2 linked regions of the Rattus norvegicus genome follow. The protein of the gene in region 1 interacts with the protein of each later gene in a pairwise test. Links are inferred from orthologs where the notes say so. Each region holds a gene or a part of one and is shown in the gene's direction. Other genes may lie near its edges. The genes, in order: Xrn1 and Zfp36.

The links.
Region 2: the proteins of Xrn1 (region 1) and Zfp36 interact in a two-hybrid assay, tested with the Homo sapiens proteins (2 studies listed by BioGRID). The link is inferred for Rattus norvegicus from reciprocal best matches to the Homo sapiens genes XRN1 and ZFP36.

Annotation. Positions count from the first base shown.
Region 1 is NC_086026.1:105,428,168-105,431,977, forward strand, and holds part of Xrn1 (5'-3' exoribonuclease 1), read left to right. Parts: intron 1-1,585; coding exon 1,586-1,652; intron 1,653-1,845; coding exon 1,846-1,951; intron 1,952-3,314; coding exon 3,315-3,404; intron 3,405-3,810. UniProt on the Homo sapiens protein: Major 5'-3' exoribonuclease involved in mRNA decay. Required for the 5'-3'-processing of the G4 tetraplex-containing DNA and RNA substrates. The kinetic of hydrolysis is faster for G4 RNA tetraplex than for G4 DNA tetraplex and monomeric RNA tetraplex.
Region 2 is NC_086019.1:92,796,002-92,800,584, reverse strand, and holds Zfp36 (mRNA decay activator protein ZFP36), read left to right. Parts: upstream 1-1,476; 5' UTR 1,477-1,516; coding exon 1,517-1,558; intron 1,559-2,228; coding exon 2,229-3,167; 3' UTR 3,168-3,957; downstream 3,958-4,583. UniProt on the Homo sapiens protein: Zinc-finger RNA-binding protein that destabilizes several cytoplasmic AU-rich element (ARE)-containing mRNA transcripts by promoting their poly(A) tail removal or deadenylation, and hence provide a mechanism for attenuating protein synthesis.

The DNA of each region.
Region 1 (3,810 bases):
TTTCTCTCATATCACAAATACATATTTAAGGGAAAAATTAAGTTTTTATTTTCACCTCTAAGGAATAGTGATATTTTTCCTCTATTAAGAAGCCAATAGGGGGGGTTGGGGATTTAGCTCAGTGGTAGAGCGCTTGCCTAGCAAGCTCAAGGCCCTGGGTTCAGTCCCCAGCTCCGAAAAAAAGAAAAAAGAAAAAAAAAAAGAAAAAAAAAAGAAGCCAATAGGGGTTGGGGATTTAGCTCAGTGGTAGAGCGCTTGCCTAGCAACCACAAGGCCCTGGGTTCGGTCCCCAGCTCCGAAAAAAAGAAAAAAAAAAAAAAAAGAAGAAGAAGAAGCCAATAAATAGGTCTAGAGAAATAGCTCAAAAGTCACGAGCAGTTACAGAGGATCCAGGTTCAGTTCCCAGTCCCCACATGGCAACTTACAATAACTCCGACTTCAGGGGATCTGCCACCCTCTTCTGGCCTCTGTGCATACTGGGAATGCATGCTGTGTACATACAAACACTTCAGACAAACACTTGTATACATATAAGATAAAAAACTTGTTTTAAAGAAGTGAATAAGTTAACTTTTAGAATAAATTATTTAAGTTGTGTCATTTGAAAACAGCAGAGCACTGAGTTTATATTTGTTTGGAGCCTTAGGAGTTTTCTTATTTGTTTGTTTGCTTGTTTATTCAAGACCAGGTCTCATGTAGCCCTGGCTGGCCTTGTACTCCTGATCCCTTCTGAGACCTCTAGGCCAGCAGGGAACTGAGGCTTGGGTATCTTGACCTTTAGGGCAGGCCTGGACTACACAGTAAGGCTATCTCAAATAGAAAGAAAGGAAAAGAAAAGAAAAAACTTGAAAGGGAACCTGGATTCACAAAACCTACATGTTAATAACTCCTATCTCCTCTACCTTAGGTCAGTCTTTAACCTTCTCCAGTCTTCCAGGAATGTATACCAGAGATACATGCAGCTAGGACCCATGAGCATAAAGTTCATAGAGGCCAGAGTTACACGAAGAAAAGCTTATGAGTGTCAGTAGCTAGGCATTCAAAAGCAAGAGAGAAAGGGTTAAGATCATAAAATATATATAGAAAAAGTGGGGCAGAAAATGAATATAGATATAGTAGGTTGGAACGACAAAAGTCTTGAGAATGAGAAGATTATTTTAAAGTAAGCTGCTACAGTGTATTCTTTAAAGGTCATTTCAGGGCTGGAGAGATGTCTCAGCAGTTGAGAGCACTGACTGCTCTTCCAAAGGTTCTGAGTTCAATTCCCAGTAACCACATGGTGACTCACAACCATCTGTAATGGAACCCAGGTGCCTCTTCTGATGTGACTGAAGACAACTACAGTGTACTCATATACATAAAATAAATAAATCTTTTAAAAAAGGGTTGGGGATTTAGCTCAGTGGTAGAGCGCTTGCCTAGGAAGCGCAAGGCCCTGGGTTCGGTCCCCAGCTCTGAAAAAAAGAACCAAAAAAAAAAAAGATCATTTCAGTTGTAGTTAGTATTTTTCTAATCTCCCTTTTATACATCTGACTCAGAGATATATCTTAGTGTTCATCTTATGATGATTTAAAATTTTTTATAGGGCCAGGAAAATTCTTTAAGTTGGGCTGCATTAGACAAAAGAGAAGGTGAAGGAGTAGCTTCTAGAGGTGAGTACAAGCTTTTGTTTAGTGTATTGCATTGGCGTGGTCATTGTCTGCCTTCCTTCATTAGTGCTAACCCAGCAGTGGTGAACCGAATCCATCCCTACAGTAGTCTCTCGGCATCAGCTTTGATATGCATGCGTCACAGCACAAACACTATTCATGATTATCAGTCACATCTTTCTGGTTTTTCTCACAGATAATTTTGAAGATGAGACTGAAGATGATGATCTGTTTGAAACTGAATTTAGACAATATAAAAGAACATACTACATGACGAAGATGGGGGTCGATGTAGTATCTGAGTATGCTTTTGATGACTTTTATTTTGAAGTTCTTCAGAAAACAACATGATTTTGATGTAGTGTGAGATTTATTGGTTTCATAAATTCAAAGTCCATTTCCTGATAGTAATTCTGGCATGTGTTCTATCACTATGATAAAATTACTGAAAAGATGAGCTACAGAGATAACTTAGTGGGTAGCATTTGCCACACTACCTGAGGACCACGTTCTCATCCCTAGCAGCTGTGTAAATGCCCAGCTCAGCTCCATAGCAAGATCTTGTCTTCAAAAGGGAGGCTCTAGGGGTTGGGGATTTAGCTCAGTGGTAGAGCGCTTGCCTAGGAAGCGCAAGGCCCTGGGTTCGATCCCCAGCTCCGAAAAAAAGAACCAAAAAAAAAAAAAAAAAAAAAGGGAGGCTCTAAACTTCTGACTCATCATCTCTCCTCTCCTCAACTCCAGAATCTGCACCACTGTTAAATGGTGATTGCAGAAAGTCACCAACAACTCAGGAAGATGCTGATAGCCTTTTAAATTGGGTAAACAAAGACTAACTTTGGGGTGGTCGTGTGTGGCTAGTCTGAGCTATTTGGGAAGCTAAAGCCACAGGGCAAGATAGCACAGCATCATCTTAGCAGTGACTGTAAAGCAGCATACGGAAACAGCTAGCAATTGCTAGTGGGGGATAAGAATGGTTTTCTTCATTATTCAGCTTTCTAGCAATCAGGAAATATTGTTCAAAAGAAGAAGGTAATATATTCATATTTTAAAGCATACCTAAGAGAACCAACTCTTGAAAGTTATCTCATGACCTCCACACAAGCATCATAGCACGTGTACACACACACAAATAAACAAGTTAATAATAGTAAGACATTTTAAAGATAAATATTCCTACTGGAAATACAAAGATAAGAGATTTCTAATTTTTTACTTTAAACTATGGCTTATTTTGTTATGGTGATTTGAAGATTTGTTTAACCCAAATCTTAATAATGATGTTTGGCTTTTGAGAAAGGAGACCAGAAGGGACTCTTGTTCAAAAGTTGTTGTAAATGCTATTGTGAGATTTCTGAGAACTCTGTGTTTATTCTCAATCCTACTAATTAAGAGGATGATGGTACCACTTCGTAGAAAGTTTATTAGATGACTCCAAACTCTTAAGGCAAAAGTAGGGCATACGATGACTTAGGTACACACAGCAGGACCGACTATGTTGGTAGTTGGTTTAGAAAAATGGTAAACAGCCTTTTATGTGACAAAATGGGATTTCAGAGAAATTAAAATTTTTCTGTTTATAGTTTTTTAGGTATTAAAAATGCACTGAACACATTGGTCTATCTGCAGAAAACAACATTGTGCTGAAAATGCCTCTTTCTGTTTCAGTGAGTTTCTGGCTGATCAAGCTGCCTGTTATGTTCAGGCTATACAGTGGATCTTACACTATTACTATCATGGAGTCCAGTCCTGGAGCTGGTAAAGGCATCTCATTTATACATCTCTTTCCTTCTATTTCTACTTAATCTTCATATATCTATACAGTCAAGTTTAAATTAAATATGGTCTTTATAAATAACAATATTTTAAAGACTAAGAAAGTATTTATAGCCCTATTCTTTGTTAATCTAAAGTTGCAAAATTCTGTATCAGTCTGTATCAAAATGGGCTAGGGAAATAGCTTACAATAAAGCACTTGAATGAGGTTCTGGATTCAAACTCTAAGACTAGAGAAGTCTGGGGTTTATTTCCTAGTGCTACCAGAAAAATAAAAATAATCGTTATGAATAATAGAGCCTTAACAATAGTTTTTTAGTCTGGGTGATAGTTACATGAGGGTGTCTACAAGATTCTCTCCTTTTTTATGTACTCAAAAACAGTTCTC
Region 2 (4,583 bases), on another chromosome or scaffold:
CATACACACATACACACACACACACACACACACATACACACACACACACCCCTCTCCTATGAGGCAAGCCAGTGAGAAGCCTGGCAGAATCTCCCTATCTCGATACAAGTGCGCAACGCACCGTGCTAGAACTTCCCGGCATTGTAATTACACTCCTGGCAATGATAACCCCCATACACAAGAACAGTTTTTCACTGGAGATATCTTTGAAATAACACTTTTTACTTGGGTGTGGCAGCTATTTCTGTAATCCTAACACTACTTGGGTGGTGGAGACTGGAGGATCGCGAGTTCCAGGCCTGCTAAGGAGACCCGACCTAAAAACAAAACCCTTACAGACCTCGAGAGAGTTTAAAGTTTGCTTAAAGACTGCTTGCACTACAAGAAACCCATTCAACGTTGAAGGTGGCCCATATTTTTAATAGAGGCGAGCTTCCTCCCTAATAAAAGACTCAAGCTGTTACAGCCTTGAGCTTCGGAAGCAAAACCTCTTAATTTAAAGTGCAGCTTGGGTAAATGGGCTCTGTCCAGCCTTGCTAGACTTGGAAGGGCGCTGCTGAGCGAAGTAAAGTTCTGAGCGGTCCCTACCTGAGCCAACTGTCTTACAGGTTCTGTGCCTTCAGGTTTTAGTTTTTATTTCAACTTCCCTTTTCATCCTTCTGTAACCGGCTTCCTCACTGAGATTTGTGTCCCAGGCCCCTCTCCCTATTGTCTCCCCACTCCGTATAGGTCAGAACCAGGATCACAACCATATGCCAGTCTTTTGTTTCATGTGTATTCCTGGCTGTCCTGGAACTCGCTCTGTAAACCAGGCTGGCCTCGAACTCACAGAGATCCCTCTGCTTCTTCCTCCCAAGTGCTGAGATTAAAAGTTTGAGCCAACATCTGGGGCCTTTTTACTTTTTAAGACAAGAGTCTCACTAAGTTACCTAGGCTGCCCTAGAACCCACAATACAGTCGAGCCAGGCCTTGAAGTCCCAGACTCCTGCCTCAGCCTCCCCAAGTGACTGGAATCACAATCCCAAACCAGCGGGTCCAGTGTGAATGTCTCTCACTGTCTCTTTGTTTTTCTCTCAGCTTCTGGCCATCTCTGTCTCTACCAGCTTGTTTCTCCCCGCCCCCGTCTGTCTCACACGCACACGCCCTCTCAGTCTCTGCCCTTGTCAATTGTCCCTAGAGCCCTGCCCCCACTTCTGCCCCAGTTCTCTTCCCGACTACCTTCAACCTCTGAAAACTAGTCAGACGCCCCACTCCCATCACCACCAAATCTGTGGTACACAGCCCTCCCCACTAACCTCGTGGGAGAGGGCTGTGGGAGAGCCAAGTTCAGGCACATTGTGCATGCTAACCAGCAGATGGGCGGAAGGGGCCTAGTACCAGGCCGGCCGGGCTACGCCGCGGGGGCGCGTCCGGGAAGCTCTCGTGGCCACGCCCCCGGGCCGCCCCATAAAAGGCGAAAGCTCCTGCGGCGGTCCCACAGCCTGACTTCTGCGAACCGACTGTCGGTCTCTTCTCCATGGCCATTCGCGCCACCATGGATCTCTCTGCCATCTACGAGGTGAGTACTGGTTAGACAGCACTCTCGGATCCTCGACGCACCAAACTTAGGCCCCGGACGCCTCCATTCCTTCTCAGACTAGCCCTAACTGGCTGGAAGTGAGAGAGGGAGCCCGTGAGCCCGGCGCCTCGGTCTAGATACCGGCGATCCCCTGGGGACGGAAAGCTGGCGCACTGCTGTCACTCGCGCAGGGCGGAAGCGGCCCCACACCTGTCTAGTACCCTTCGCTGTCCATGGCGCGGTTTGGCGGCCAGGCAGGTGTTGAAGTTGAGCGGGGAGTTGACCCGGTCAGAGTCCTAGAGAGATCTGGCCTCCTGGGTCAGCTTTGGCCGGCTTCTCTAAGTTGTGAAACGAGCGCCCGATGGGCGGTCTTATCCGGGGAGGTCTAAAGGCCCAAAATTGGCGAGCAGCCGTGGTGCTTTGATTTGGGGGTACCCTCTCTCGATCCATCGGGGATACTGGGCTCCCTAGATCCTTCTGGATTAGCTTCAGTCATTTGTTAACACCCAAACCTCTGTAGTCAGGTTCTCCCTGAAATTTGTGAGCCGGGTGGGGCTCAGGCTGAGAACCCACAAACCGGAATGACAAGCTCGTGAAGTGCTTTACCACAGGGGCGGGGCGTCGTCACCTTACCTTTTCTGGTGGCCTAACCGAACCCTATTCTCCTTAGAGCCTTATGTCGATGAGCCATGACCTGTCACCCGACCACGGAGGAACTGAGTCCTCCGGAGGACTTTGGAACATAAACTCATCGGACTCCATCCCATCTGGGGTCACCTCTCGCCTGACTGGCCGCTCCACTAGCCTGGTGGAGGGCCGAAGCTGCAGCTGGGTACCCCCACCCCCTGGTTTCGCACCCTTGGCTCCCCGCCCGGGCCCTGAGCTGTCACCCTCACCTACTTCGCCTACTGCAACTCCCACCACCTCCTCTCGATACAAGACTGAGCTCTGTCGGACCTACTCAGAGAGCGGGCGTTGTCGCTATGGGGCCAAGTGCCAGTTTGCCCACGGCCCGGGTGAACTGCGCCAAGCCAATCGCCACCCCAAGTACAAAACGGAACTCTGCCACAAGTTCTACCTCCAGGGCCGCTGCCCCTACGGCTCTCGATGCCACTTCATCCACAACCCTACCGAGGACCTGGCTCTCCCTGGCCAGCCCCATGTGCTCCGACAAAGCATCAGCTTCTCAGGCTTGCCTTCAGGCCGCAGAACCTCACCACCACCTCCAGGCTTCTCTGGCCCTTCCCTGTCCTCTTGCTCCTTTTCGCCTTCCAGCTCCCCACCACCGCCTGGGGACCTTCCACTTTCCCCTTCTGCCTTCTCTGCTGCCCCTGGGACCCCTGTGTCTCGAAGAGACCCTACCCCAGCCTGTTGTCCCTCCTGCCGAAGGTCTACTACCCCTAGCACCATCTGGGGGCCCTTGGGTGGTCTGGCTCGGAGCCCATCTGCACACTCTCTGGGATCCGACCCTGATGATTACGCCAGCAGCGGCAGCAGCCTGGGTGGGTCAGACTCGCCTGTCTTTGAGGCCGGGGTGTTTGGGCCTCCTCAGCCCCCTGCACCCCCAAGGCGTCTTCCCATCTTCAATCGCATCTCTGTCTCTGAGTGACAAGTGCCTGCCCAGTGTGGATCAGCTAGATCTCAAAGAAGAGGGAGGGAACTGCTCGTTGCTGTGGGGACCTGGGGGGACTCCTCTAAGTCCCTCCTCCTGGACATTCCAAGTTGCATTAACCCATTCCCCTGGTGCTGGGCTAGGGCAGGTCCCTAGTTTGCAAATTCAGTGTTTGGGTGGATCCGTTCCTAGGGTACCTGAGATGTAGCATGTTTGAGGGGTACAGTTGACAGTTGATCTTCCAGGTCTCAAGTCTTATGTTGTTTCTGAGATAGGGGATTATTACGGTACCCCAGGCTGGCTTTGAACTCAATATAATCCTGCCTTAGCCTTTTCCAAGTTCTGGGGTTACAGGTATGCACCAGCCCCTCGGAAACTCTGGTCTCCTGGAATCTTAAGTGCTGTGAAGAGCCGGCTCCCACAATACTATCCTAATTTTTACTAGACCCCGAAGTTCAGTGTCCGGTGGTTGTAGCCTCTCCTGAGAATCCTGGTGCTCAAATTTCCCTCCCAAAGCAAATAGCCAAAGCCATTGCCAAATCCCTTTTCCCCCACGCCCCTGCCCCAACCAATGGACCCTTTATTTATGACGACTTTATTTATTGTAATAAGATTTTATAGTATTTATATATATTGGGTCGTCTACTCCGTTTTTCTTTTTGTAATGTTAAAACTGATACTGTATTAAGTATATACTATAATATATTAAGTAATATATTGTTACCGTACAAGTCTATTTTTGTGGGTTTTTTTGGAATTTTTAAATAAAATCTTGAGTGTGAACTGTGATGAAATTTGTTTTTTTCCGTGGTCCACAGCCTTGTGATGGTGGGTAAACTGACCTCCAGACCTTCCTGTGAGCACTGCTGCCGGGGGGGGGGGGGGGGGGGGGGGGCGCTTACCTGGCAGGAAGTGACGTTAGCCCGGTTGTTCACCTGAGGAGGCGTGGCGGGATGAGGTCACCCAAAAGGAACAAGGAGAGCTAGTTCTCTTGGCTAAGGGGTGCTCCAGGCCTGTCCCTCCGGCTCTTGACCCAGCTCGGGCAGGGACAGGATGTTTCCGTCCCCACAGGGCCAAGGAAGGAGGGAGGGGTGGGGCGGGGCGGCGAGGACGGAATGTGCCGGAAGGCGAGCCCGGGCGGCCAGGGTCAGGGGTCACCCCAAAGCCGGCCCCTAGGGGACTCTGAACCCCGCGTAGACAGCCTGGGCGAGCTTGACAGAGGACTTATTTTAGTTTAACTTTTTTTTTTTTTTTTAAATAAGGTCGACCCTGGCTCACACTGATCTGAACTCTCTGCAACCTCCTGCCTCAGCCTCTGAAATGCTAGGATAACAAGCGCAGGTCACCATGCCCAATTTTATCGTTTTAACGTGTAGTGTGTTAGTCAGGAATCGGGTCTCTTCCACAAAGTTG